Linked DNA regions of Daphnia pulex. The protein of the gene in region 4 purifies or fractionates together with the protein of the main gene of each other region. This does not show direct contact. Links are inferred from orthologs where the notes say so. Each region holds a gene or a part of one and is shown on either strand. Other genes may lie near its edges. The genes, in order: cold shock domain-containing protein E1-like, U1 small nuclear ribonucleoprotein 70 kDa-like, SUZ domain-containing protein 1-like and serine-threonine kinase receptor-associated protein-like.

Evidence for each region.
Region 1: the proteins of serine-threonine kinase receptor-associated protein-like (region 4) and cold shock domain-containing protein E1-like purify together in Homo sapiens (affinity purification with mass spectrometry; 3 studies listed by BioGRID and IntAct, counting the BioPlex papers as one, with this or other methods). This does not show direct contact. The link is inferred for Daphnia pulex from reciprocal best matches to the Homo sapiens genes STRAP and CSDE1.
Region 2: the proteins of serine-threonine kinase receptor-associated protein-like (region 4) and U1 small nuclear ribonucleoprotein 70 kDa-like purify together in Homo sapiens (affinity purification with mass spectrometry; 3 studies listed by BioGRID and IntAct, with this or other methods). This does not show direct contact. The link is inferred for Daphnia pulex from reciprocal best matches to the Homo sapiens genes STRAP and SNRNP70.
Region 3: the proteins of serine-threonine kinase receptor-associated protein-like (region 4) and SUZ domain-containing protein 1-like purify together in Homo sapiens (co-immunoprecipitation; 3 studies listed by BioGRID and IntAct, counting the BioPlex papers as one, with this or other methods). This does not show direct contact. The link is inferred for Daphnia pulex from reciprocal best matches to the Homo sapiens genes STRAP and SZRD1.

The regions. Positions count from the first base shown.
Region 1 is NC_060018.1:4,244,326-4,253,031, forward strand, and holds the start of cold shock domain-containing protein E1-like, read right to left. Parts: upstream 5,511-8,706; 5' UTR 5,410-5,510; exon of another isoform or gene 5,071-5,409; intron 5,000-5,070; 5' UTR 4,119-4,999; coding exon 3,666-4,118; intron 3,596-3,665; coding exon 3,416-3,595; intron 3,357-3,415; coding exon 3,172-3,356; intron 3,104-3,171; coding exon 2,893-3,103; intron 2,818-2,892; coding exon 2,585-2,817; intron 2,482-2,584; coding exon 2,220-2,481; intron 2,145-2,219; coding exon 1,995-2,144; intron 1,935-1,994; coding exon 1,809-1,934; intron 1,750-1,808; coding exon 1,499-1,749; intron 1,436-1,498; coding exon 1,197-1,435; intron 1,126-1,196; coding exon 910-1,125; intron 853-909; coding exon 723-852; intron 654-722; coding exon 446-653; 3' UTR 1-445. Other genes in the region: wolframin-like, read left to right, coding at 5,848-5,968, 6,032-6,185, 6,248-6,364, 6,442-6,664, 6,745-7,650, 7,707-7,778, 7,871-8,001, 8,065-8,260 and 2 more. UniProt on the Homo sapiens protein: RNA-binding protein involved in translationally coupled mRNA turnover.
Region 2 is NC_060026.1:6,141,064-6,145,279, forward strand, and holds the start of U1 small nuclear ribonucleoprotein 70 kDa-like, read right to left. Parts: upstream 2,801-4,216; 5' UTR 2,509-2,800; coding exon 2,365-2,508; intron 1,895-2,364; coding exon 1,777-1,894; intron 1,708-1,776; coding exon 1,643-1,707; intron 1,505-1,642; coding exon 1,442-1,504; intron 1,381-1,441; coding exon 1,299-1,380; intron 366-1,298; coding exon 285-365; intron 82-284; coding exon 1-81. UniProt on the Homo sapiens protein: Component of the spliceosomal U1 snRNP, which is essential for recognition of the pre-mRNA 5' splice-site and the subsequent assembly of the spliceosome. SNRNP70 binds to the loop I region of U1-snRNA.
Region 3 is NC_060018.1:4,645,972-4,653,765, reverse strand, and holds SUZ domain-containing protein 1-like, read right to left. Parts: upstream 4,747-7,794; 5' UTR 4,503-4,746; intron 4,440-4,502; 5' UTR 4,423-4,439; coding exon 4,336-4,422; intron 4,263-4,335; coding exon 4,210-4,262; intron 4,071-4,209; coding exon 3,866-4,070; intron 3,794-3,865; coding exon 3,714-3,793; intron 3,641-3,713; coding exon 3,532-3,640; 3' UTR 3,373-3,531; downstream 1-3,372. Other genes in the region: uncharacterized protein LOC124210490, read left to right, coding at 745-1,293, 1,358-1,537, 1,616-1,812, 1,898-3,299; uncharacterized protein LOC124210484, read right to left, coding at 5,342-5,513, 5,594-5,817, 5,926-6,101, 6,174-7,004, 7,104-7,414, 7,512-7,626, 7,701-7,794.
Region 4 is NC_060026.1:10,620,788-10,629,012, forward strand, and holds serine-threonine kinase receptor-associated protein-like, read left to right. Parts: upstream 1-3,911; 5' UTR 3,912-4,105; coding exon 4,106-4,229; intron 4,230-4,288; coding exon 4,289-4,579; intron 4,580-4,642; coding exon 4,643-4,767; intron 4,768-4,829; coding exon 4,830-4,942; intron 4,943-5,006; coding exon 5,007-5,155; intron 5,156-5,210; coding exon 5,211-5,404; 3' UTR 5,405-5,556; downstream 5,557-8,225. Other genes in the region: succinate dehydrogenase [ubiquinone] cytochrome b small subunit, mitochondrial-like, read left to right, coding at 995-1,034, 1,221-1,533, 1,611-1,788; intraflagellar transport protein 43 homolog, read right to left, coding at 1,913-1,996, 2,068-2,206, 2,273-2,348, 2,414-2,463, 2,536-2,648, 2,711-2,722; uncharacterized protein LOC124205018, read right to left, coding at 5,686-5,819, 5,879-6,914, 6,983-7,202, 7,263-7,288. UniProt on the Homo sapiens protein: The SMN complex catalyzes the assembly of small nuclear ribonucleoproteins (snRNPs), the building blocks of the spliceosome, and thereby plays an important role in the splicing of cellular pre-mRNAs.

The DNA.
Region 1 (8,706 bases), on a different chromosome or scaffold from region 4:
ACATAATTATATGGCAAATGATGCTTTGATTCACAATTTAAAAAGAAAAAAAAAGAAAAAAAAAAGGAATAATAATAATAATAAAAAAAAGATTCACGACACCCAAGTTCGCACACTACTAGATTTTTTTTGCTTATTTAATTTTGTAAAACACGCTTGAAGTCCCACCCCATCACAGTCGGTTCCTCGATGCGAACACGTTACAGTAGATTTTTTTTTGTTAAGAGAAGAAATATTGATATTTTTTTGTGAATTGTACGTTATTTTTTTTTTACCTCAAACGATAGGAAGGGGGGGGGGAAGGAAAGAACCTCATTATGACTCCTCCCACATGCTTGGTTTTTTTTTCTTTCTTTCGTTATTTGTTCAGCGACGAAGATATAGTTGAGTGAGGGAAGTGTTAAAGAGAAACAGCAAAGTTGTAGCTTAACCAATTCGATGTCATTCAGGCATTGCCCACAGCTTCAGACGAGTCGCCATTGGTCTTGGAGGACGATACGCCATTGCTAGATACCGATGAACGAGGTGCCATTTTGAATCCTCGAGTACCATCCGGACCTTTAGGTTGGCGAAGCACATAGAAGCGGGGTCCGTTCTCGTCAACCGACATGGTACGTAGACGAGCAGCCAACCAATCTGGACGTTGGGTTTCCCTGTATTTGATAAAACAACAACCAATGATGAGCACAAGAAATAAGGTTAGCAAAATTGTGTGCACTTACATTTTGACAATATTGCAAGCCGAAGATTTCCCTGTACGTTGGTTGGTAATGAGAACAAATTCGACGGTATCGTTGGGTTGAAGAGTTGCATTATCCTTCACTTCAGAAAGATGAAAGAAAAGCTTCTTACCTACAAGTTTAAATTGAATTATTGATAGTTCACGTTTAATTTTTAAACTAAGCATACCATCTTCCATTTCATAATTCAGGAATCCAAACTGGCCCTTGATAGCGTCAACTGTAGAGCGAAGCTTTTTACGAACAACACGTATACGAGTAGCTCTTTCTTTGCCGTCCTCAGTTCGTTCGATTTGGAATTGAACTTGATCGCCACGTTGGAGGAAGTCTTTCTTATTAGCTAAGCTCGTGATTCCAAATTCGTAAGACACTTCTTCAGCATCCACTAAAATAAATTATGTTGGGTTATTTTTTTAAATTGAACTTTGAACAATCACAACAAAAAAAAGTCATTACTGTCAGCGCCTAGTTTAACTAGTCCCGCATATTGAGCTTGGTCGGGATTAACGTTTCTCAGTGGGCGAACGATAATACCATCCAAAATCTCTTCCTCGATGGCGTGTCGGGCAATGGTTCCTTTCTTCAACAACTTAACGTTTTCAGCAGATATTTTCCCCGACGAAGGGGTTTTACCTGTAAGAGTATACTGAACCTCGTGACCCAGGTCCAAAGAATCGGCATCCCCATCAAAATGACTACCAAAATAAATAGAATATGTCAAAGATGTCTTAACAAATAAAAATAAACAAAAACCCAACCTGTAGTGAAAGAATATCTCCTTATCGTGTGAGAGGTTTTCGATGAACCCGAATGTATCCTTCAACGACGCAATGAATCCTTTTTGAACTTTGTTCGCGTCTCCATTTGTATGTTGCGCATCGTTCTTGTTGTTCTCTCCATTCTCCGAAAACTTGTTACTGGATTTGCTAACTTGGGCACGCTGTATTATACGGATATTCAGACCGATGTGTTCCTTCGTGCGTTTTACTTGGGCCAAATCAAATTCAACCTAAAACGAACATAAAGATAAAAATATCGATTCAAGGAAATTCTAAAGCACGCGCTTACCTCATCACCCAGACGCGGGCTATTACGAACATCACATTCTCTCATCTGGAAGGGCACATGCTCCATTATTCCGTTCAGCTGGTAGGATACCAGCCCCATATCATCAGCTGACCTCTCTCCATTCACCTAAGTAACAATATATCATAGAAATTGTTCCCAGAAAATAGATAAGGCAATCGATCTTACCCGACTAGGACTGCGTTGAGCCCAACTGCTTGACGGTTCTCTGGTAACAGTTCCAACTATGTTTCGCTGAGTTATCACTTCAAATTGCACACTTCCTGGGGGCAGCACTTTTATACGAACTGCGCTTTGCTTGTTGGGTTGCGTTTGATCCTTTAACAAGATTACATTAATTCCACTCGATTAATTCCCGATCAATTCACTGATTATCTAAAAGAATTTTGCTACCTGTGACATCGTAAATTCTACTTCGGAATTTTGATCGACATCCTCGTCCAATGAAATTACTTCAGAGAAATGGAAAAAGACCCGAGCGTCCCTCTCGGCGCACTTGATGAAGCCATAACCTTCCTTGACAGCGGCTACCACACCGGTTTCACGTTTCTCACCCGAGACCACAAATGATTCGTCCTGCAACTCAATATTGGTGGCGCGTTCCAGTCTATCACGGCGATCAACCGCTACATTGAACTGGACCCAATCTCCATGTCTGGGGCATAATAAACAATGAGTTCAGTTTCATTATTGATCCATCTTGAAAGTGGAGGAGCAAGAAAAAAACATATGGAGGCCAACTAAATCTATCGATATACCTGAGTGTATATTCGCCCTTTTGATCTTTATCACCAAATGGAATTTCTACCTCCGAACGATCACGTCCACGATAGCGAAGTCTGCCAGAGAGTGGCTCCGTATTAAGAGCGGCAACATTTGCACCGCGTTCCAAAGGTTTCAATACTTGGCCTTTCAGAGTTTCAGGGTTGACGTCTTCAAAGACGACAGTTCCGGAAGGCAACTTGATTATACTGCAAGCCACTTCTTTCCCCTAAACAGATAAAACAGCAAAAATTCAATTAGAGGTCTCGCATAATTCTTTCTTTTTTCTCTAGACGCAACGCACGTTTCGGGTTTGGATCGTGAACTCAACGTCGTCACCGAGTTCCATCGTGTCAGCAATGCCTTTGGCTTCAGAGAAATGGAAGAAGATTTCGCGCACGACATCACCACGTTCGATAAATCCAAAGCTCTCTTTCAGAGAACAAACCACTCCCTGGTAGCGAACTGGATGAGCCGGGTTTTCCAAGCGGATATAACGAGCTCCCAGGTTACCGCTTTAGAAAAACAGAGAACGAAATGTTAAGGCTATTAACATTATCATTTCGCGAAAGCATAAAGATACCTGTGACTAGTGGCAATTTGGAAGCTGACTTTATCACCAACAGAGAGTGTCACGTTTCCTTCCACATCATCCTTTCCATATGGCAAGAAAAAGCACTCGCCACGATTCTCGTAGCTTATGCGCCCTTGTTGGCCAGTTCCCAATTCGGTAGTGACAGTTCCAGTTACGCGCTCTTCACTCAATACCTGGTAGGACGATTAAAATAAAATAACAGCGCTGTCTAAAGTAAGAAAATGAATCATACCACTTCAGGAGCGATTTTAGAAACAGAGCTGGCAATCGGTTTCCCGTTCCTGCGATCGTAAGTCACTTCAAATTCAACAGGGTCTCCTATCTTCAAGTGTTCAATATTGCCGTCAAATTGACTAAAATGAAAGAAGAGACGAGCTTGGCGTTCGCAACACTGAATGAATCCATAGGAATGCTAAGACGAAACAAATAAAATCATTATAACATAACACTGACCAGGAAACAAATAAAATTACGTTTCATACCAGTAGTTTCTCGATAATTCCCGTTTCTCTACTGCCGAGATTGTTTGGAGAATTGGAACCTCCGTCACGATGCACGTTTCCATTGCCCACGTGAACAGCGGGCGAAGTCTTGATGGTATCCTCACTAAAAGCCGAATTAGCATTGAATGTGCCAATGGGAAAGTGCCCGATAGACGAAGATCCAAGTGTAGGTGATATTGAACCACCTTGGCCGTTGTTGATCGAAAATTGAGTGCTGGTAGAGTTCGTCTGCGAGGCAAAAAATGTTCCACTGCCAGAGTTTGAACGCCCGAATGATGAAAAGTTGTTGAACCCGTTGACTGCAGCTCCAGAAGACGACAAGAGGTTACTGCTGCTATTGCTGCCACCGTTGTAGCCGAATCCGAGGAGCGAAGCCGGAGCAGCGGACTTGGGAGAATAGAGAGATGAGTTCCATTGTGGATTCGTCGACATTTTTCTTCGCACTTTTTAGAGCGGAAGGTCGCCGAAGGGAAAGATCAGGAACAGAACTAGGTGGATGATTTCAGAATAGAGGATTTACACTAAGCACTCACAAAAATAGGAAGGAAATTCAAATGTTGGGCACACACTATACGTTTTTTTTTTTGTTTGTTTTGTTTTTGAGTAAATTATTTTTAACTTTTTTTTTTCTTTTCTTTTCTTAATGTACGACAACAATATCACAGATAAGGCAACGATGGTAAATTGCTTGTAAATTCCTAGCTCAAGAGATTGTTTCTGGTTACAGCTGGTTGTAACACTCTTTTGGTAACACAATGAAATTGAATGGTTTTATAGAAGACTTTAGTTGGAACTCAAAGTGTCACTGCAACCAATGGTTGAGGATAACCAGCAAACAAAAGGATGGGGATAACAAACACAATGAGGGGATGTGGGATCAACACCTGAGCCTTTTCCTTGATGGGTTGCTGTTAAGGGCTATAATTCCTACCAGCAATTACTCCCTTACCCTTAAAAACAACCACACAATCACACTCACTTACACTGGCACACCAATTTGGGATACAGATATGAATGACAATAGTTCCAAAGAAGGTGAAATTCAAAAGGCCAATAGATCTGAACACAATATCTAAGGAAAGTTTTCTTTTGGCTTGAGACAGAGATATTTATGTTTTTCTTATGTGAGAGAGGGGAATAACACTAAACAATGAGCTGATGTTCAAGAACTGTAGATGGATGGGAGGCTTAAATATGTTAATGATGAATGTGGCTGTATTGTTTGCTGAAAGCACGCTGAGTCTTCAACTAGAAGTTATTTTCGATTTCAAGATGGTGACCAACTCTTTTGGGTGTAGGGTTCTTACAGTAATCTGAAAATACACAAAAACAATGTCACAAAGTGAAACAATTGTTCGTGGTATAAAAATAAATAAAAATTTACATAAATGCCAAGAGATTAAGGAACTAAATTACAATTTAAGTTGTGAAACAGAAAGTCCAAACTAATTCAAAATCCAACAAAAAAAGTGATCATGTCATATCAACGATTTTTGTCAAATCAAAGCCTTTGGGCTACTTTTGTTACTGAACATGCCACCGGAAAATAAGCGTTCACGTAATGCTATGGTATAAGCGTACAGTAAACGTTGTCGTGATAAAATAAAATAAATTCCCTCAATATTCTTTTATCGTTTATCGACAACAGGGATTATATCAAAATAACTATAAATACGATCACATTTGACGAACTAACACAAATCCAAAAATAATATTTCTTTACCCAACGCAACGGCACAGCAGACTAGCCGCCATGATACAACTTATTTGACGAAAGCGCCCCGCGTAGCGTTACAAAGTACTTCGAAGACGAAAGCGCCATAGTGGCCTTAGATGGTACTGATCTTAATATATTAATCTTTGATTAGCATGTGGATTTGTAAGGAATTCATTAAATAATGGAATACACATCTAATGAAAAATTGAATTTAACTATAGAATTTTAATAAAATTGGCATTGATTTTGTGATACAATCTCAATTAATCAATACTTTGTTGATGCCTTGATGGTTGATATCGTTTTAGCAGACGAAAATTTCGGTTTTATGAGCGGTGAGCTTTCGAGTTTCGATGTTAAGTGAAAAGATAAGGATTTGTAAATCATGTCTATATCGGTTTGTAATTATTTCTGAGTAGTATTTTATTCGTCACGTCTTTTGAAATGGCAGCAACAAATTCAAAATCCGACTTGAATAACGGGTCTACCAATAGTGTGTCCGAAAGCGGACTAAGTCCCCCAGCAAACACCAGTATTAGTGGCCCGTCAAACGGTCGACTGAAACGTAATTACATGAACGTTGTGAAATTTTAGTTAATCACATAATTATAGCTAATTTGAATAACAGGGAAACAATGGGTTCTTCATGAGGGTCCACATGGATCACTACAGAGACTTCGACTAAGGATGGCAGAGGAAGGTTGTGGCCACAGCCAAGTGGCTCTAGCCAAACAGTTTCTTTCAGAGAATTGTGGGGAAAGCGATCAAATGGCAATTCATTGGTAAAGTTATGAAATTTGATTGCTTGAAATTTAAATTCCTCACATAGTTATTTTACCTTCAGGTTGTTGAAAGCAGCTGATCAGGGGCATTATGAAGGAGCAGAATTATTGAAGACATGTTTTGAAACCAATAGGGGCATCACAGAAAACAATTGCCATAAAATTCGTTCCTTCCTAGAGTATGCTGTCAAAATTCACTACGACCCTTAGTTGTAAATGTTTATTAATGCATTTCCATTGCAAACCTTTTTTCCAGTATGTCACAGCATGAGAGAGCAGCAAGATTAGGGGCCAAAACATTGTTTACTAATATGGCTCAAGGAAATGAATTCATCACTACTAAACAACTGGAACAGTGGTTAGAGGAATCATTTGCTACTCAACAAAAATCACAGCTTGAGAATGGAGAAGCTCTAAAACAAGTTACTGATTCTTCTTCTTTGGTTTTGGGAGGAGAACTTATCAGTGAACAACACATGGTATGCAAAGGGTCTCGAATCATCAAATTGTATCCGCTAATGATAGTCTATTTCTACTTCTTTCTGTAAATGATATTTAGATGTCAGCAGCTTCTGTTTACGCATCCGGTCACTTCCCTCCCCTATTACGGTTGCTCAATCTAGGATCCAAACAAAATCTTAGCTATCTCTATCATCGACTGAAGCATAGCAAATTTATCGACTACACTCATCCCCTTCCATTATATCTTATGTTTACGCTAGTAATCGTTTATTATATAGTATCCTTTGCTCTCAGCAACCCCATCGTGTTGCTTAACTTGCAACTTTCTTCTGCCTTAATTTTGCTCTCTTGGGTTCTGGCCTTGGCAGCAGCTATATACTTTACAGTTCAGTCATGCCACTCTGTCCGAGAATGGAATATTTTCCATGGTTGGTCGTTGCTTTTAACTCAGCATGCCCAACGCTTGCTTGAGCCAGCAACGGCTGAAAATTTATATATCTACGGTACATTCCCATATCATCTTGGTCGACTTTTACTGGCAACCCTTTTGTGTATTTCACTCCAACCCGCACTTCATCTAGTGCGCTCCACTTTACCCAATCCTGGTTCTTGGATCCCGTTTGGTGAGCTAAGTGTCCTAGCTGCATTACTATGTTCTACCTGTCTCGATTCGCACATTGGAGTTGGACTCTATGACATCCTATGCCTGACCTGCTGGATCCTTTGGCGTGCTGATCTCACCCCCTGGAGTTTCTATTCGGATGATGACGAAAGCATGTCACTGCGTTGGATCCAACTATACCGTTCCCCTTGGAGTATTCGTTTTCACCTAGGAACTGTTGTCACATTCGCAGGAATCCTGGTTCTGATTTATTTCTACGTCAAACGAATGAGGCAGTTAAACTATGCCAGCCATCGATTAGCCTGGTCACTACCGCATTTCCTCAGTCTTTTCTGGCTTTTCCTAGCCATCGATTGGTTCCAGTTATCAGGCTATGATGGGGTAACTTTCAATTTTTTTTAAAGTTTGTTACATTTTATCTTCAACTTTTCTTTTAGATCTTACGAGGTCTGGGTTTTCTTGCTGCTGCCGCACTTCTTCGTTCTAATTGGTTAACAAAAGTCAATGTGGTACGTAACAAGTTTTGAAACTTGAAATCTTCGTTCCATGTTTTTGGGTTATTTTTAAGTTATTGACTATTAAATCAACATCTCTTCAACAGCTTATTTGCATTACCTTCTATTCGTCTGGATCTGTCATCGGATTAAACCCTTGGATAGGTATAGGAGTAGTTGGTTGTCTCATCGTCATAGTTCAAATGAGGACTAAGTTCCTATCTCGTAGGAATCAAAGGTAGTACTTGTTTTTATATTAAATACATGTTGGATTGTTTTTACTTTCAAAATTCGATTATAGCATACTAATGGTGCTATGCCTAGCCATACTCACCTACCGCCTGTTGGAATACCTAAAAGCTCCCGACACACTTCCCGAAGACGTCTTGGGTTTACCAACGACGACCCCCGTTCCTCCGACTCCTATACGATCAGGAACAGGTGGTATGATCCATGGATCTTTAGATGATGTTGATTTAAATTCCGATTCCATGGAGGTAATTAATTTGATCGCTGTACGTACATTATTTAATTTCATTAAAATAATTCACTCTTTTTTTTTAAACAAAAAGCTCAACTGGGAACGTTATCACGAGTTTTGTTCCTATTCCCCTCGCTCCTACTCTAGTTCTTCTATCGCCTCTGTTCAAATGGCGTGTTTCGCACTGAGTGGTTTAACTGTGAAATGGGAGGGAGTTGTACGTCAGGTAAGAACTTCGTTGCCCTTTAAATAACAAGACAATCTGCAGTGCAATCATTGTAATTTTTTGTCAAAACAGGTCTCAGTTGAAAGCCGAAATAATGTTGTAGAATCGCTACTCCAATGGCTCCCGCCTAAATGGTTTGAATGGCTGAAATGTCGAATTGGAGAAAAGTGGCCTCCCTGTCATAATCACGACCACGGGTTGCCCCAGTCACTTGATTCGAGGCGGTGTAATTTATT
Region 2 (4,216 bases), about 4.5 Mb from region 4:
GTCCTGAATGTTTTACGTTTACATCTGGTCCTCCACGACGAGTCCCACCCAAGCCTCCACCCAAACGGCGAGGAAGCCAACCTGGAATGCAATAGTTTAGGTACTTAGAAACCATGGCGGCATGATTATAATATCTAACAAGAAGAAAAAAATTTTGTGCACTTATTTACACTGATTAATCAAAATAAAAAACCTATGGATTTTCAAAACAAATTTTAAAATTTGCCTTCGAAAAAAAGGGCAGCAAACTATAAACATAAAACTTATTTAATTAAAATAATTACCTTTGACAGTCCTTGCCCTTTCTACGTCTACAAGAACTCTGCGGCCGTCTATTTTCTTTCCGTCGGCGTGTTTGTACGCAGCTGGTATTTTAAAACAACAAACCAGTATTTCGGCGCCGTCGGCAAAACGAACAAATCGTAAATACGGGTAGTACAGCAGGCAGAGAAGACGAAAAATTCAGCGTGTATAACATGGAGAAGGAGAGTTCCAACAATTAGTATCACAAACCTAATATCACCTACCGAAGGATCTCCATTACCTACCCCTCCCAGCAATTTCGAAAAATATTTACCGTGAATTAACAAATAACGAAAAATGCAATGATTTCAAGTATGACCAATCATAACACTTGGAAAATGCATAAAAAACCAACGCCACGGCCGTTTACCAGATTACGGCTATGTTCACGTAACATCCAGATCTATTAATAAGCGATCAAATGTTGCCAATCACAGAAGCAGATCCATTCCCTCTTCAAGCTGTCCCCATCTTTACCTGTGAATCCTCTTAACGCGCAGCAGCACTCGAAGAATCTGATCGAATTGAAATGGCCCTAATTTTTAGTGGCGCTAGAAAGCCTAGTAACCGACTTACCAGGATACTTACTACCATCAAGGGGAAGGGAGGGTGAAAACGAAAAGATACTTTCTTTGAAGCTAATTTGAACCTGCAGTCGATTTCAAAGGGATTTTGGTTTAACTTTAACCAAACGAAACCTTACCAATTGACCATACAAACCTAGCATCAAGAGACAAAAAGCGACAAAGGCCACATGACCGTCCAAATAGTCGGAGGCCGCGACTGTGACCGGAAACGACAAAATGAAATATAGGAAAACTTTAAGGTACAAATCAATCACAGATTTTCCCCACCTCACCCCCACCCCTTTCATCATCATACAAATTGGTGGTGCGACGATTAATTGAACAGTGAAAGCTATCGCAGGCCTTACTAATTAGCCCACTACCCTCAGTTACCACACGACTTAGGTATAATAGAAAAGAAATACTTACAATGCATGTCTCGCTCATGTTCATACTCGATGAATGCATAACCGCGTGGCTTACTAGTCCTCTTGTCATGCACCAACACAATCTGTAACATTAAAAAGCGTGGTAAGCGTGTGATTAAATTTCACATGGTGCTTGTAAGTTACCTTCCGAACAACTCCGTACACTTCAAACTCCCTGCGCAATTTAGATTCCGAAGTATCAAAATTCTGAGAGAAAATGTTTCAAGAATTATCGTTTCATTCATGCGGATTACTAGTTATAACTTAGCACTCATTATTCATTAAGCTCGAAATAAAATAAAAGTGATGAGAAAAAAAAATTATAGTATGAGTATTGACACTTACAATGCGAGCAACGAACAGCGTTTTGAAGGGGTCCATGGTAGAAACACCATTACTGTGTGGATCCCCTATGAATGCCAGAGAAAAGGGAAATTGATAAAAGAAATTGTAGAAACACACCAAAAATTAGAACTTACACATTGCAATTTCCTGTTCAAGTTTATAGGCAACTTGTTCTGCCTTTTCGCGACGTTTTCTTTCGCGCCGTTCATCCCGTGTTTCTGCTCGCGTAGGAGGGGGTGTATCTTTAGGATCCTGTTAAGAATATAAAATGATATTAAAAATTTCGTTATGTTTGAAAGCTCAGTACTTAGTTCATCAGAATGCTTCTAGTATGCAATGTTTCGTTCCACATCTCTCATTTAAAACTTTGTGAAACAATGACTACTTTACACCCCTCAGACATATGCTAACATTAAATTGTCAACCTGATAAAAGGCTCAGCTGGAAACACTGTGCTTCCAGAAAATTAAGACACTTTCACAACATTTTCACAAAATATTTTGCATCTCACATGTCACACATGAAAACTTGGGATTCTCATCGACACATCTAGAGGAGAATGAATAAATGAACCAAAACTGTTCCATAAATTGGGATTGGGACCCGTGCATTAGTAAATTAAGACATACATTACTTCCCAAATCAATCAAATTAGATCAAATTGCAATACTTACCTTGACTACTATATCAATTTTTAATTTTTAATGGAATCAAATACTAACCTCAAACAGATTTGTATACTGCGCTATACCAATGTATGGCGTTCTTTTTTTTTCATGAGTCAATTTATCAGGTGGTGGTAAAAATGGAGGGGGATCGCGTGGCGCAAAAAGAGCCAAAAGATTTGGAGGCAAAAACTGCGTCATTTCACAAATATTTCAATGAGCATGGACCTTTCAAAAAGCTTCTCGGTCGAGCGTCTTAGCTGTCGGCCATTAGTCCATTACTGTCTATCTATTGCTCGGCAGGGCTGCCACTTTGGTCTTTGGTGGGATTTTCCCACTTTTGAAATTTTCAAGTTTTTAAAATTGAAAATACCCGTTTTAAAAAACGGGTATTGTGGGATGAGATGGGATTGAGATTTTAGGAAAAACAGCGGGATTTTGTAATTTCTAATTTATCTGACCAATTTCATAAATTTTTTTTGAGCCGTAAATAGGCTAGCAACAAAATATATATTTGGCAACTAGAAATAAAACTAAATTTAAAAAAGCAGACGAATCAATACCAGATCAGAATCAGACATATATAAAAGTAAATAGTCACTACAGTCAAAAACAGCGTTTTGGCCCCAACCAATTTGTATCAGTTTTTACTTTTTATATTGTTTTAAATATTATAATCGTAATACTAGACCCCCGGCCCTTTAGTTTGCTTGTTGCTTATTGCTTATTGGATTTTAATGGGTTTGGCGCTGATATTTTTCATTAAATTTCTTGAAAGTGGAGTCTAGTAAGTAGGTAGTAGGTAACTTATAACATTTAAATTAATGCTCTTTAAGGAAAAAAAACTATAAATACTACATAAAAATAGACATAATTAGGTTTCAAATGAGACTAAGGGGGAATTTCTACGTGCATTTTTGACAAGGTTTAATATATGGTAAACATATTTTATACGGTAAGATTTATTTCATTACTGCATCTCAAAAGATTCAAGTTGTACAGCATCTTTCAATTACATCCAAGTCCCAAATATTGGTAAATAAATAAATTAGTTCCTTTCTTTCTTACAAAGCCTTTTCGGCCTTTTCTTAAATACATTGCTGATGCGGTTAAGTTCGGTTAATGTTATTGTGGTTTTCAAAAATCAGCTTGGATTTCAACTTCTACTTGCAGACAAACCAAAACAAAGTAAAAAAAAACTGTTCGATATTATTTGGCCTCTTGATGGCGTAGAATTCAATTATTGAATTAATTGAAATTAATGGTTTCTTAGGATTAGGAATGTCTTTAATCTTGATGTATTTATCGTCTGAAAGTTGAGACGGTGTCTCTAGCTCTCTACTTTAAGACCATAACAAAATTTTACTTTAGTTAGCTAAATTTTTTGCGCCAAAAAACTCATACTGTTTCGTCCTTCATGCTTAACTCAGCTTAAGGATAGGCCTTTTTATCGTTAGCACATGCAAAAAAATAAACAAACAAAACGCGGCAAAGTCTGATACACACGACATGATTCTGAATCGAGTTTCCATCATCACGTGACCGCAAGCACTCCGCCGGTCCGCCCACAAAAATAAACCCAAAAATGGAACCATACAATCTGTGAACATGTTTCCATAGTTCTACTAAGGCAGATTGCCCGAGATACCTAGATGGGAAAACCTCCTAAACTGAATAATTTGGATATATTATCCACAATTCCGCTACACCAAAACGCCAGTTGCTAATACATGTCGGCCCCAGCGGATTTGTCAGTGCAATTTTTCGAATTTTCTATAGGCTTTGCTCAAGAAATCATGCAGTGTGATCGGAAGAATGTGTGAAGTCTAAAACGAAGAAAGCACCTCTGGTGCGTCAAGGACAAAACCCTAGCTGTGTGTCCTAAAACGGAACAGCTACTTTGGTTCCC
Region 3 (7,794 bases), on a different chromosome or scaffold from region 4:
AAATTTCCTGACGCTAAAGAAAGTGTTATGAAGTATTGCAATAGTGTGGTGAAAGGTGATATTGATGCTTACCTTTATCTTATGGGTGATGATTTAGTAAGACATCTGACGTAGTGTGGTTGATGTGGTAGCAGTAATGGGAAAATACCTTATCTGCGCACATTTGCATTCCACTATATGTGTGCATCAAACATGAGTTTTAGGCTTTTGACAGCATGAGGATCTAATGGATGGAAAGTGACTGAGCGCTAAGTCAACTTGTTGGGATGGCTGACAGAAGCTATGCTGCATCTGAAATTTGAAGAAATAAGTTGGTATAATATGAAAATTAAGAAAGTAGGTCAAGATAAACCTACATAAGATACGAAGTTCAATTTGGTATTTGAAATCACAGGAATATAAGTATAATTAGCATGGCCATGATAATTAGCAACAATTTGTTTCGCCCATTTCGCCTCGATTCATGACATGGGGAACGTAGGAACACAAAGAAATCTTATGTTAGTTGCACAATCACAGTCGCAGCATACATGACATTGACATTACACGTCTAACACGAATGACGAATCGAAGATCGAAGATCGAACAGACAATCCGCCACCTGACAGTTACAATTTTTAGCCACCTAGTGACAAGCGACAGATTCTTTATCATACACCAAGGCTGACCAAGGAGTTCAAATGCGGAAATTCCCAAAGCAAGTTAGTATCCTTTGCCAGAAGCACTGCTTACCTGCTTGCTACCATGACTGATGAAACAGATAGTATAATTCATGGCAATCTTGTGAATAATGAAGGTTTTCAAAATGTCAGCAATTGTGATAAAGATAATGAAAGTCAGCAATTAGGAGAGAGTTGGTTTTCACCACCAATTACATCAACTCAAATAGTGTCATTTGATTTGATAAGTTCTGATGGAGATTTTTCACAAGATGAACTGCTCTTAGGCAATGAGAAGCATTCAGCAGATGGGACAATTTCATCGGATGAGATTATGCTATTCACAGATCCTGCTTACTTACTAGCTCTTTCACCTCTCTGTGACCAGACCAATGTTTCTGAAACTCCCCCTCCACAAGGGGAATCCCTAAATTGGGAAAACAGAAATGTTACAGATTATCTGTTTAATAGCAGTAATTTAATAACCGTTGAGTCTTCAAATAATATTTCAATCCAAACTATTAGAGCGCCTTCAAAAAGAATGTTCCTTCAAGAAAAAAGCAAGAAATCAGCTAAGATAAAGAAACCAAAAGTAGAAGGTTACAGTTGCAAGCTGAATGGAACAATGTATCAAGTATATAATTAATACTTTATTCTATAATTTTATGCCATCTTATATAACTGCTCTTTTATTACAGGTTTTTAGTAGGGATTTGGATGTACTTGAAGCCATTGAAAGAGGACTTAAAGTAATACAAGAGAAGATTCGTCAACAGGGAATGTGTAATGTGAGGCCTCTTTGTCTACAACTAAATCAAATTGAAACGATGATGGGTATTCTTGATAATGAACAGCTTGAACTAGGGATGCCTCTTGAGGTATGTGTTCTATCTCAATTACATACTATGCTTGTAGGTCAATTTTTCAAATTTCAAAGTTATAATCTTCTACTGAAGGTATGGAAGGAAATGATGGCACTTACCAAAGCTATGTTTAATGAAACTCTACATGAAGTTAATCTATGCAAAAAAAAAAGATTTGAACTTGAAACCTTCACTGATGAGTTGACCACTTCCTTTTCACATAGCTTCAACATATCTGGTTCTGAGCAGACCAAAGAGAAATCAAGTCAGCAGCCACTCACCTTTAACAAGTATCTTTACAAAAATAAGGCTTTAAACAGTCTCATAGAATGTATGCCATGATTGCAATTAATTTTGTTTTATTATTCCTTCTAGAAGAGATGAAAACACTGAAAAAATCCTTGTTAGAACTCCAGACGCAACAGCATCACATTTCGAATCCCAAGTATTGAGAAATGACATGACAGTTGAAATTGAGCAAGAAGAGAATGGTATCCAATTGTCTGGAGTATCGCAGCAGTTAAACGACACAATTACGCAAGAATCCGCTAATGAAATCCCCAAGAAGACGCCAACCCAAACAACTTTAAGAAAGCAACGATCATTGAGAAGCTTAAAGAAAAAATCCTCCAAGAAATCTTATGCACCCAATACAAGCGGAACATGTGAGGAAAGCCATAAATCAACTTTACCTCGAAAAAATGTTCTCCGAATGGATACCTCGACAGACGGTTTCCGGCGTCCTGATGAAGTTGATTTGAACCTTCCGTTAGCTGAAGATTCCATCCACGAAAGAAACCCTTTACAGACACTTGCAATGCCATCGACTGACACCACCATACCGATCAGCGGAAACTACTTGGAAATCTGTCGAAATTCCTTCAGTTCCACCCTCAATGCAAATGAATCGCTGTTATCTCAAAAAAAATTGCAGGTTAATGACTCACAATTGAATCCTGTTCGCGTCACCATCAGCAACGGTTTCAATTCATCACAGCAAATGGAAGAAATTGTTATCGCAGAGAACGTAAATGCTACCAACTACCAAGATGAATCCTTTATTGTTGAAGCCTCACAGAATTCGACGCTCTCTTTGTTCAGTGGAAACCGGAAATGTTTACCCAAAATAGTGATGATGAGTTTCAACCTGCATCCATTTGTCCTTAAAGGAGTTTTATCCCCTGGCAAAAATAACATGAAAATGAACATTAACAATCGCATATACATAGGATCTCTAACACCTGATGGGACAATTGAAATGAACGGTTTCAGTTTCCCGACAATAGGAAATTGGATAAAGTCCGTTGAAGGGAAAAGGTTTGGATGTTTAAGTCGTACAGTTCAGAAAACTTTGGAACTGCAGTACAATGGCAAACCTCTAGTAGAAGTGCTTGACGAAGGAGGGAAATTAAACAAATCACTTTTGAAGGACAACGTCGAAATTTCTCCGAGCAATTTCACTCAATATCCCACATTACAACCTCCAAAAGCAGATAGCAATCTTCCACCGAAAACAGCTCCAGTTATCCCTGTTCAAAACCCGCCTTCACATCCACAAACCACAGACGAAGTTGGCCAGAAAAACGCAAAATCGAATAATGATTTGAATACTAAAGAAGATCTGCAACTAGTTCCCGACGAGATGACACGTCACATCAAAACCATTTTTCTTCACGCTCCAGATGAGTATTTTCCCATTTGTCAGTGCGTTGAACAGTACTGGTGCGGTGCACAACCCTTTCCAAAACACCTTTTAGACGAAGTCGATTCTTGGTAGTTTAGTCGGTCTTAATCTATTTTCTTGTGAATTTTCGTTCGAAAATAAAATGCTGTTCAATAAACACATCGTATTGACTGATTAATAGCTCAGTAGTTGTACTGTACACGCACACGCCCCCCTCAAGAAAAAAAAAGGAAAAACAATTTGTGGAAAGAAAACAGAGTGGGAGAAATTATAGATTTAAAATTAAAGAAAAGGTGTCGCAGTTTAAGTAAAGCAAAAGGAAGTCTTAATTTTGTTGGTTGAAACCTCTTGTTCCGTCAGGACCCTTTGGCAGGCGGACGAGACAAGATTCCTCTGTTCGTAGATTTTCCATTCGATTTTGTAATTTACTTATACTAAAAAAAAAATAACATAATAAACTTACTAATTATATTCTGGTTGTTCTAAGTTAGAATTCCAGATACTTACCCAAGGTCTGGCAAAGGTATGTTGGCTGGAGCAGCTTCGCCTAGAATTCGTAGTCGTGCTTCAGCATACTCTGCTTCTTTCTACATTAAGAAATCATATCTTTAGTTAAACCCAATCACTTACAAATTCAATTTTAATAATAATGGAAATACCTGTTGGAGTGTTTTAACCAGGGGCTTGGGTTTAGCTTGGCCATTCGATGAAGCAAAAGCACCCTGTTGGTGAGCATGAGCTGATCCATTATGCTGAGGTCGCTTAAGAATTTTAATCTGAGGAGGCGGTCCAAGAACATTAGGTTTCACACTACCATCTCCATTGAACAAAAAGTGAGTTTGCTGTTGAATTTCATCAGGATTCCTAATCAAGACACAAATTGAAAATTAAAAGGCTGACTACACTCAAGAAGGAATTAAGGGAACTCAACACTAATGCAATTTCCCGAACTAAAATCTGTCATTACGAAAATGAATGGGATAATAAGTAAAATTTAGCATACCTCACTTCTTCTGGTATTCTGGTCTTCAAACTTTGAAGTTTTTTATCAAGAAGCTAAAATATGTAAAGATGACTTACTATTATGAATATGACGGTAGCAAAAGACTTCAAGAAATATTCGACTTACACCAGAATCAGCCATCTGTTCCCAATCATCAAGAATCTCACCATCAGACGGAGGGCTTTTCATTTGGAAAGAAGACATGTAGGCCATTCACTGTTTCGTTTAAACTGAAATGAGTAGTAGCAATTAATCACAATTGATACACGCCAACATTTTTTCGTCTCACGTACAGCATGTGTGCAGATTTTAAATGGTTAACCTACCTATAGAAACTGAATAAAAGTTTTTGCAGTTGATGAAGTTAATGAATCATAGTTCTTTAGATAGTCGGTTCGAAACGAACAAAACAAAGGGAAAACTGTAGATGGTAGAAATTATTCCTTTATCCCTGATCACCGACTCAGATTTCGACGACGGACATGTTCCATTGAAGAGCCATTTACTTTCTTAAATGTATACAGCTTTTGCTGTTGCCAGATTGAATCATTAGGCGTCTCTCGCATACGGTACTCAGGAATGCGCCAATGCGCCTTCGTGGAATGCCGAATGCAGCAGGCTAGCAGCTGATTGAACTGCAGATAGTATTTTGATAATTTCCCATTTACAGTTCTTTATATTTGATAAAAATCAAACAGTATTTTATACTATTTTATTTCACTATTTTTATTAAACCAAACGAAACGTCAGTTGGTTGTTAAGAATTCAAATTCATTCGATGTTAGTGTTAACACCTTTTCTCTGGGTAACACTGAATGTGATGTTTCCGAATTTCAGAAAATTTCAAAGAATAAATATTGGAACCAATTTAGATAATATATTTCTCCGTTAACAACAACAAAAGAATCATCCCAAGATATGGGTTCTCAAAAGCAGATTTTTTTTCCTTAATTATTTACATAAGGCCACACAAAAATCAAAAAAAGCATTTGAAAATGTAAAACCAACAACCCAGTGGGAAAAAAAAATTAGATAAAATTGAAACAAGCAAATTTCGACGGTAAAATAACGAGAAAAAAATCTATAATATCACGTTTCATAAAAAAAAAAAAAACTCATGATGTTTCTCTTTTTAGCGTGCTGCTGGTTTCTTAAGATTCATTCGCCAAGGTGAAATGATAACGCCCACTCCAGCTGATTCAGCGGGGCGAGGCGACGTAGACACTGGGTGATTACCTACCGACGACGAAACTGATGCGGCTTCCGCTTTCACCTCTTCAGAAGGATGGCTTCTATTTTGCGATCTTGACAATAAAACCACAAAAGATTGAGAGTTTATTACCGTGATGCCAAATTATTAATTAACATTTATAAGAAAACTAACTGTTTGACATCCTCAACTTCCTTCCGATCGGACGAAGTTGCTGTAGTTGTAGTGCGCTGTAGGAGTTGGCGCTTCCATGCCGGCATGGATTGTTGCCTCTTCTCCTCGAGCTCACGCTGACGCTGTTCCTCGGCTTCCTTTTTGGCCTTTTCAGCTGCTTTGCGAGCAAGCATCTGCCGCTTCCATTCGGGAATCACAGCTCCCGTTACGTCCTTGTCCGGTACCTTATTCAACAATCAAAAACATTTATAGATGCTACGACGTTTCTTTTCAAAAGAAAAAACAAAACAAAACAAACATAAGTATTCAAAAACATATTAAGGATAGAATACCTTCTCCAAAAAGTTGTCATATGTAAACTGTTTCTCAAACTCCTTGGCCTGAGTTTGTTCTTGCTGAACTTCCTCTTTGGCGCGTTCAACTCTTAGTTTCTTAATACCAACTACAGAGATATCTTTGCAGGTTTTAAGTTCAGCGATCAGATCAAGCTGAACGGGAATTACTTCGGCTGGAAACAAAAAATTGTCAACTTTTATAATAAATCTAAAATCAGGATGCAATGTATGTACACAGCAAATACCAATTGGGAGAGGAGCAGCAGCTCTCGATGGTGCCGATACGGTTTTCGCTAGTTTATTTTCAGTTTTGCGCAACTGGACACTCTGAAGGTCAAGAATGCTGATGGACGACAGAGGCTGCGATAGCGAATTCGTCGGTGCCAATGGTGCGTGATGTGGTTGCGACTGTTGTTGCTGATGATTGTTGACACTTTGAGTAGTTGTCAAAGGCTTGTGGTACGAAACATAAGAGTCATCTTCCGGAATGACCGGTAGCGGGGGTGGAGGAGGTGCTGACATAGACGCATTGCTGAGCAGTGCCACTACAGGACTTTTAGTCGTCTCATTATTGACTGCGGGAGCAATTGGCACGGTTTCATTGGTTTCCGCTTCTTCTTCCTCATTATCCGGCAGTGATTGGACTTCTTCATATACATTCTCTGTGTCGACGTCATTCAACTCTCCTTGGTCTAGTTCCACTCGTTTTTCTTCCTGTTCCTTGACGCTCTCAAACGCAGGCAGAGGCACTGAAGAATAGACGATTGGAGCAGGTGCGTGTCGCTGATTGTGCATGGGAGGAGGTCGGATGGACCTGTTTGACGGTTGAGCCATATTGATAGACTTCAGGTATTCCGACGGCTTGATCAACGTGTCAGTCTCGGATGGTGACGGAAATTTCGGAGGGATGAAGGGTAGGGCCATTTGCTTGCTCAGCAAGATGTGTTTGTTGCTACTTGGACCGCCGTTTACCGGATTGGCAGCCTGTTGCTGGTCGGCATGCAAACGCAAGGACTCCATTAGTGCGTCACCCATGTCCGCTGGTAGCGACATCGGCCGATTCAAGCAGGTATGACCTGTTTGTGTGACAAGTAGAGAACAAGATATATCAGACCTAGATTTCACTAAACTGGCATTTATCAAACAATTTCTTCGTCAACTCGTTGCATACTGACCTGATTCATTGCGGATGCCCTTCCTGGTGTTGCGAAGGAACGAGGGTTTCATCGTCGGGTCATCGGTGTTTCTTGTAGCGTAGAATTGCCTAGTGGCTTCGGCTAGAGTAAGGTTGATTGGACCTCCTACACTGCTGCTGTCGTCGTCGTTACTCCTATCGGAATCTTCAGCTCCCGAATCCGAAGTCAGTGACGAGGAGACGGAAGAACTTTCCACGTCGGCCAGATTTCCTTCTTCCCTCGAGTCCTCGGCTCGGAACGGCGGAGGAGGAGGAGGTGGTGGCGGCAGTGTGTTGCACGAACTCGGTTGCCTGTCCGAAACATGAAATCCCGTTGGAATTATTTAACATAAAAAAAAATGAAAATAAAAAAAAAAAAAAAAAAAAAAAACGGGAGGCAACACGGTACCGGTGTTCCATTCCCATCGACGGAGAAATGGCTGTACGGGTGAACGAATCGTCGGCTTGTCGACTATGAAAATGCGGCAAGTCATTGGAAACATCAGACGGCGATCCGCAAAATTCTGAAAAAGATAAAACCAAAGTTAATACAAACTAATGGACTGCGGTTAATGTAATTTTCAGGAGCGACACTTACCCGGAGGCGGAGGGATGGAAATGATGTCATCTTCATCCTCATCAGAAGACGTATCATTCCGTAGAGCGTTCGGATTTTCGTAAACGCTTCGAGC
Region 4 (8,225 bases):
TAATAATGACTAAAATCAATAAATTTAGCATAATAATAAACACTATTTATAGAATTTGGTAGAAAAGAAAAAAAGAAGAGGTCCTACTGAGAATCGAACTCAGATTATCAGAGTCAAAGTCTGATGTGCTAACCATTACACCATAGAACCTTATACTTATTTGACAAACACTAGTACTGTTTCATGTTACATCGTCAGGTTTTAGTAATCATCCTTATACCAAACAGCTGTGCAATGGTTCAAGCAATACTATTGCTCATGACAAAACTGCTCAGTAATGAGAAGATTTAAAGGGTTTGTATAAATGTATGTATAATATGCATAATACAAATTATACCAATGAGCACTATCACATCTTTATACAACAGGAAATAGTTGTACTTATTATTACTAAAATCAAACATTAGCACAGTAATAAACCCAATTGTTTAAAATTAAAAAAAAAAAAAAGTCAGATAGGTCCTACTGAGAATCGAACTCAGATTATCAGAGTCAAAGTCTGATGTGCTAACCATTACACCATAGAACCTTGTTCAGAAGAGAATGACAAAGAGTGCATATGTACGAAATTTTTCTTGGTTCCAGTCCTTCCGAAGGAAACAATTATAATCAATTAATCATAGAATCTCTCTTCTTCACTTTAAAACAAAGTTAAAAAAAATTATCTGGTCAATTAATGATATCTAATTAATTTGTATATCTTCCCCTACTTGAAAGCCTTTTTGCAGAATTTTTTGTTTGGTTTTTTATTTCATTTTTGTTTTTTCTTTTGGCTAAGCAAAATTTATTAATTTATTATCAAGCTACATTTACTTTGTAGTTTGTTATCCACTATCCATTCATTCCATGTGGCTAAAAAGGCAAAGTAGGCCTAGTCTTGACTTTTCCATGCACTTGCAATTTGCAAAGCACTGGACCATCTCAAAGTGGCGTAAATGAGAACTAGATTTTCGTCTGCAGTATCCGACTGTTATTTTGATAAAAAGACAGAAAAATGGCCGCAATGATGTCCGTTTGCAGAAACTTTGGGAAAGGTAATTTACTTACTTTACAGAGATTTCCAAATGTTGCTCGTTGAAACAACTTTAGTCCCAGTATAATTTAAATCCAACTCCCGAGTTCTGACTAAATTTTATGAGTAATATGTTATTAGGCATAGATCAATCTTACTGACCAATACGTTTCATGGACGTAATTTGTTTTACTTACTTTATTTACAGTGGGGTTACACAGTCGCTTGATACTTGGAAATCCCTGTTTAGCTGCTCTTTCAAAAAAGAACATTATATTTTATGAGAATAAAATTGTGCCTGTATCGCAGAATGCACTTCATTCTGTGAAAAACTTCACTGTGGGTCCCAAAGCTCTTGCCGAGACAGCCTCTTGCAAGTCAGCAGATGATCACACAAAACTTTGGACATTAGAAAGAGGTTTAGCACTTGCTCTGGTCCCTCTTGTACCTGCAGCATTTCTATTCCCTTCCGCAGCAATGGATTACTTGCTTGCTATTTCTTTCACACTGCACGCTCATTGGTAAAACAAAAAATTCTTACTCTTCAAAATAGAAAATTCTTAAGAAAGTCTTCTAAAAAAACTTGCAACATTTCTAGGGGTTTGGAAACTATTGTAGTAGACTACATGAGACCAAAAGTGGTTGGCCCTGCATTAGCCAAACTTGGTGTTGCTGTTGTTTATGGAATTTCAGTTTTCACTCTTGGTGGACTTTTCTATTTTAATTATTCTGATGTAGGAATTGTTAATGCTATCAAAATGTTTTGGAAGTTGTAAAAACATCAGGGAGTAAGAAAGAATATGCATACTACATTACAATGGGCTTTGTTTCAGAAGTGTGCATGTTATGTATTAGAATGTCCAATAAAAATAAAACAAGTTGTAAAAATGAGTAATTGTACTAAAAAGGAGATTTTTCTCTACCCAAGAATAATTCAGGCACCATTTCAGCAAATAAAACATCCCAATTCCATGGTACATCTGCCTGATTGTTAAATCAAAAGAAAATTGATAACATTAATAGAAGAAGCATGTGTGAGTATACTATGGTCATACTTCTTTCAATTGAGACTCAGGTAATATATTTTTTGTTAGAATCCTTAAATCTACCCCTTCTAAATATTGAGCCATATTTTGTTTAGAAATGCTATTGGCATTTAACTCTTTGTATGCAGCAGCTCGGTTATGATTTTCTCTAAAAAATAATTAAAACCCAGTAAAAATTTTGATGAAACATTTTTGAATAACTGTAGAATTTTACGTTTTTAAGTTGCTGACAATGTTGAGATCATCTACATCTTCATTGCTTAAGTCACTGGTGGTTGAAACAGGAACTTCTAAATTATTTCCATTACATAGTTAAATATCTTCAAAAATTGGTACAAATGATTATAGGCTGTACCTTCTTCTGATTCTTGCTTCTTCAATTTTATGGAAGAAAACCTCTTTTCTCTGCAAGATATCAATACCAATATGGATTAGAATTAGTTTATTTACTAAACTAGATGGGACTCAATGACTCACAGTGCGCTCAAAGCTTTGTTCGACTGTTGTGTTTCATCCGCCCATCCACCCTGCTTCTTGAATCTTGACGTTGTTTTTGTTCCATTGCTCTTAATAGGAGACGTCGATTTTTTCTGTCAAGATTACAAATGTTAAGGTTAACACAAATTAGGTACGTATTGAAATTTTACATTACATCTTCGTGCATTTGAGAAACACTTTGTAGCTAAAATTGACAGCCAGAGCCAAGTCAGCACCTTTAATAAATAGCCTACAACTCTAACAAGTCGAGTATTGGTTTCCATGGTTACTTATGCCATGGTGTTCCTGGTGGTGCTTCAGGACAACTAAATTTTACTTTTCGCAGAATGGTTACCTCTTAGTCTCTTACCTGAGCAAGGTAAACTGGGTTTAAATAAGGCTTATTATATTTGACAAATTACAATAATTTATAGTTTTAGCTACGATTTATTTGCTTAACTCATTAACTGTCGTTTCAGTGCTACATAGATAAAATCGAAATATCACTATATTTTCATTAACACCGTTTACTCATTTTGTCATTTAACGCCCACTTTACTAGGCTACCAATTACTTTAGTTCTAATAATGAAAAATTTTCTTGATGTTCCCTTGAAACATTGTTTGCGATTTTTGGCATAACAAATATTTGGGCTGCTTGTACATTTTACACATTCAATATTTGTTTAGCGTTTTTCTAAAAATGAAAAAATTTAGCTGAGAAAGCAAGAAAGTACTAAATGATACATTCAGAATTAAAAAATGCAATTGCGTTTTAGCCGTTTACACCTTACAGTATATTTTAACAGTTAAGATTTGTCCGCTATGATTTTCCGCACAGTGTTTCATCCGATCCCTAGTAGCCTAGCCTGTATAAGTACAGTTAGGGAAACCGGAAGCTCTTGTTTTTGTGCGCACCTTTTGTGTATAGCAACCTTTAGCTTAATTATGTCTACATAATACTCAGACAGTTCTTGTAGTTCTTTTTTTAATAGTAAAAGTTTACCATCCGCTCAATAACGCCACATGACGTACGTTTTAACTATAAATCTATAATTCTTTCTACGTCAACAAAATGAACTTTTTAAAGGCTAAAATGCAGCCGTACAATACCCATGAACGGTACAGTAATTAAATCACATTAGATTATTGTGATTTTTCCCAATGAAAAATCTATGTGATCGGCCCAGATCACACTGTACGTCGTTTACCTTTTTAACCACGCATTAAAATCGGCTCAGAAAGGATTGATTTTGCGTGCTGAGTGTGAATAATCAATTGGGGGCATTCTACTTAAAAAGTGAGTTGACGTCACTCTTGCACAATTGCATAAGTCCTGCATTGCTATCGGTATTGGCCACAGATGGCGTCAAATGCCGGGATAATTTTCCCTATGATCCTAGTGTTCTGCAGTCGGCAACACCGACAACCGACAACCTGCTAAGTTAGCCAAGGGGCTTTAATTTACCATCAATTCCCCAATTTGTGGCTTCTTTTGTAGTTTGACTGCCCGATCAAGTAATTCCCATCTCGACTCTGACCGTATTAAATAACCAAATAACTTTGGGATAATGGCAGTTCCTACTACATTACGACAAACACCCTTAACTTGCAGTGGACACACTAGGCCTGTCGTTGACTTGGCTTTCAGCGGTTTCACGGAGAAAGGTTACTTTCTTATATCAGCATGCAAAGGTATTTGTTAATATATTTCATTTCTTAGTTTATCCATTAACCGTTATAGAAAAATGTAGATGGAAAACCCATGATGAGGCAAGGAGATACTGGTGACTGGTTGGGCACATTTGAGGGCCACAAGGGAGCTGTATGGGGAGTTGCTTTAAGCCAAGATGCCAGCAAAGCTGCATCAGGTGCTGCTGATTTCATTGCTAAAGTCTGGGACGCTGTAACAGGGGAAGAAATATATTCCTTCCAACATCAGCATATAGTCAAATGTGTGGCCTTTTCCCCAGACGGGAGCTTGCTTGCTACTGGAAGCAATGAAAAGCTTCTTCGCATTTATGACTTGAATAATCCAACTGCTGGTAAATAAAGTACTTCAAAAATTATTTAAGAAACACAAAACATGAAGCTTCTCTTTTTTTTAGATCCATTCATCATATCTGGCCATACCTCTGGATTGAGACATATTGCATTTCTTGGTAAGGGAGAGAAGATAGTTAGTTGTGCTGACGATAGAACCGTTAGATTTTGGGAACGTTCAACGGGAAAGGTACAGACTATTTAATCTTTTTACGTCTTCTCAAATTAAAATTGTTAATATTCCGTTTACAGGAAATTCACCGTATAGATTTTACCTCGATCCCTAATGGCATTGAAGTTTCTAACGATGATTCCATATTAACGGTCGCTAGCGGGAACACAGTCAGCTTCTGGAATACAACCAGGTAAACGACAAATAGGTTTTCATTTTACATACTTTGCTTAATAACTTCTTGTTGCAATCATCAGCTTTGAAAAAATAAAAGAATATCAAGTGCCTAGCCAAGTCCATTCGGCCTCATTACATCCTTCACGCTCAGTCTTTGTATGCGGTGGCGAAGACTTTAAAATGTATAAAATGGATTATTCCAATGGACAGGAAATAGAATCGTTTAAAGGTAAATCTTGTCTATAGACAGTAGTTGTGTTTATTAACAATATCTTTTTTTTTAGGTCACTTTGGCCCAGTTCATTGCGTCCGTTTTTCTCCCGATGGTGAATTATACGCGTCAGGATCAGAGGATGGAACCCTTCGTTTATGGCAAACTACCGTTGGTAAATCCTATGGTTTGTGGAAGTGTAGCAGCGATACTCCTACTTCATCCGAAATTCTGTCTTCACCTGCTAAAACCGAAACTGTGGCATGAAGTGGAGCAGAGGAAATGACCAAGTTATATTCCTTTTTGTTCCCAGTTATAACCTCAGTGATCTTATTCACACCACGATAACAGTGGTCACTCGACTTGTAAAGACGATATCATTTTTGAGCCATCAGGAAATACAAGGAATCCATCCATTCCTTAAACTTAAATACAAATTTCGAAAAGGCAAAGACAACACGGTTCAATGTGAAGCACGAATTAGGTATACAGTAGGCGTAAATCCAGAAACAAAAACTCTTATAAGAATTATTTCGAACGCTTGTTAGTTAGATCTTCACTTTGACATCTGGGTGTAATGGCTTGCTTGCTCGACGATTACGTGATAAACCTAATCGAATTCCTGTTGAAGGAGAATTTGAATTTCCATTTGAAAAAATATTTGCACCACCGCCGGCTTTACCTTTGAAATAAAAAAGTTCAACACTTGAAAAGTAATTAATTGGCTTGTGATTGATTTACCTGGTGGTTTCCATTTCACTGCAACCCTCAATGGCGGACTAGGTGGCTTGAAGATGTGAACAGGATCTTGTGTAATTTGGGTGTTCTTGGAAGGTACCGCTTCAAAACCTCCGAGTTCGTCGTTTTTAGGAAGGCCGTTGTCGACTATCGTAGAATGAATTATTCCTGTGGGTTTCGATGAATCACATGATTCATCTCTACATTGCTTAAGATTTGTCACATCTCTTTTCGAGTTCGTCTCAGGCTTCTTTTTTAATTGCAGTTTTTGTTTCAGGACTTTCGTTGCCTTTTTGGCAGTTTTGGTAGGAGATACTGCTTCCGCTGACACTGGTCGAATTTTATTTGAATCTTCAGAAATGTGTTGAAGCGCGGAAATTCTTGGGTATTCTTCAGCTTTTTCTAATTTATGGTCGTCTTTTGATACTTTGATTTTTTCTTTTACAGATGTGTGAATGTTATTCTCTAGGGCAACTGGTAATTCACTGTCTTCATTGATTGAAGCAACTAGAACTAAGTTCTGGCAATTTTGGATAAGTTGTTCAGGTAATGACCTTTCCACCATTTTTGTGCAGGGGGATAGTCTAGGTAGCAGTGGAAGTGAAGTATCTTCACTATCATCTACTGAAAGTTTTGTAATGGATTCAACACTACCACGGGTATTCAACTTTTCATCTTCTTTACTTTCAATTTTGATCTTCTTATTTTTTGCTGTATCACTTTCACTGATGATCCTTCGTTTGGTTATTCTTTCTTCATTTGTTTTAAGGGGTTTGAAATCCTCATCCTCACTAACTATCTTCTTTTTTGACTCATGTTTTTGGCACATGTTTTTCACTGTAGCAGATAGCTCAAAAGTGGTTCCACAGATTTCAGAGTCTGAAGAGTCACTCAGTTCATGAGGAGAAAGACATTCACACGTGGATGCGATAACTGTATCTTGTGACGAAATGCTGTGAATTATCAAATCAGGTTCTGCTATGGAAAAATCAATCTCTTCCACAATCTTTGATCCAGCAATTATGGGAGGCTGAATTGCCTTGAAAAAAAAATGCATGCAAAGCATAAGATACTAAGTAAAAAAATGATAATATTTTAAATTCAAACCTTTGTTGATTGATCTGAAATGGGTTTTAGTTCTGTGAATTTCGATTTATTAGACAACTTAGTTTCCTTTCTTGAACCTAGCTTCAATTTACTCAGTTTTGAAGGTTTCGATGCAGTGGCAGAGGGTTTTGAAACCTTAGTGTTGACAACGAAATCGTTGTCACTATCATCTGATGATCTATCGCCATTCATGGCTGCATAATTTATCACTTTCCGAGTTCTTCAAAGAGATATAAAAATAAGTCAGCATACATTTATTCCATGAGTTATCAAGTAGTACCTGGTATTTGGCTTTGCAACTTCCATTTTAAGCACATTGAAAAGTAAGACCTTCAATCAAATTCCAAACAAAGATTACGCCTTGTTTGAAATAGCGGCGAAAATCACTCTCTCTCTTTCGGTTAGTCTTCAAGTGTAGTCTGCTATCACTTAGGAGCCGCCTGGCGGTCAGATTCAGAAGGGGGAGGGTCGGAGGGAGAATAAACGGGAAACGGAGGATGGGCATGGGATACAGGCCTGCCTGAACAGGGTTATAATTTTCTAAAATCTGGTTTATTGAGTTCTAGTTTGCGGCTGGTTTGCGGTTTCCTTTTTTTTAACAAACAACAACATAAAAATAATTATAAACTAAATATATATGTATGTTGGGTTGGTTGAGGATTTATATAAGGATGCCACTTCACTAACTACAAAGTTTTCAAACTAAGAACAAACAATTTCATCTGTATAAGCCAAAGGCTTACATTCACATCTGTATTGATGTCTTCATCCACAGTGGTCTAAGAATAGCACATAAACAAGTAGAAAGCAATCAACAGTCACAGGAAAAATACCGATTTTACATAAACACACAAACAGGCTTACGGTACGTTACATTCGGGAAAAAAGGGTGGGTATACAGAAATACCAATATATACCTACTCTTTAGAGTGGCAATCATGGTCAATCAAATTGTTACCAATCAAAGACAGTTCTTCTCAAACTACAGTATAAACAATTGGAGAAAATAAAGGTGGTTTGAGAAAGACACGATATTTCAAAGACGTGAACAAGAGGGGCCGTTTAAAAAAGAGGGACATTGGCAGGTCAGTACTCTGTACGGCGAAAGTCGTCAAGGAATCACAGCAGATATTGTTTTCATAGTATAAATGAGAGTCAAGGTGGACGAAGATTCAAAGTAAACTAACCGATACAAATACGAATTCAATAACTCACTCATCCATCAGCAATTATCATGTCTTAA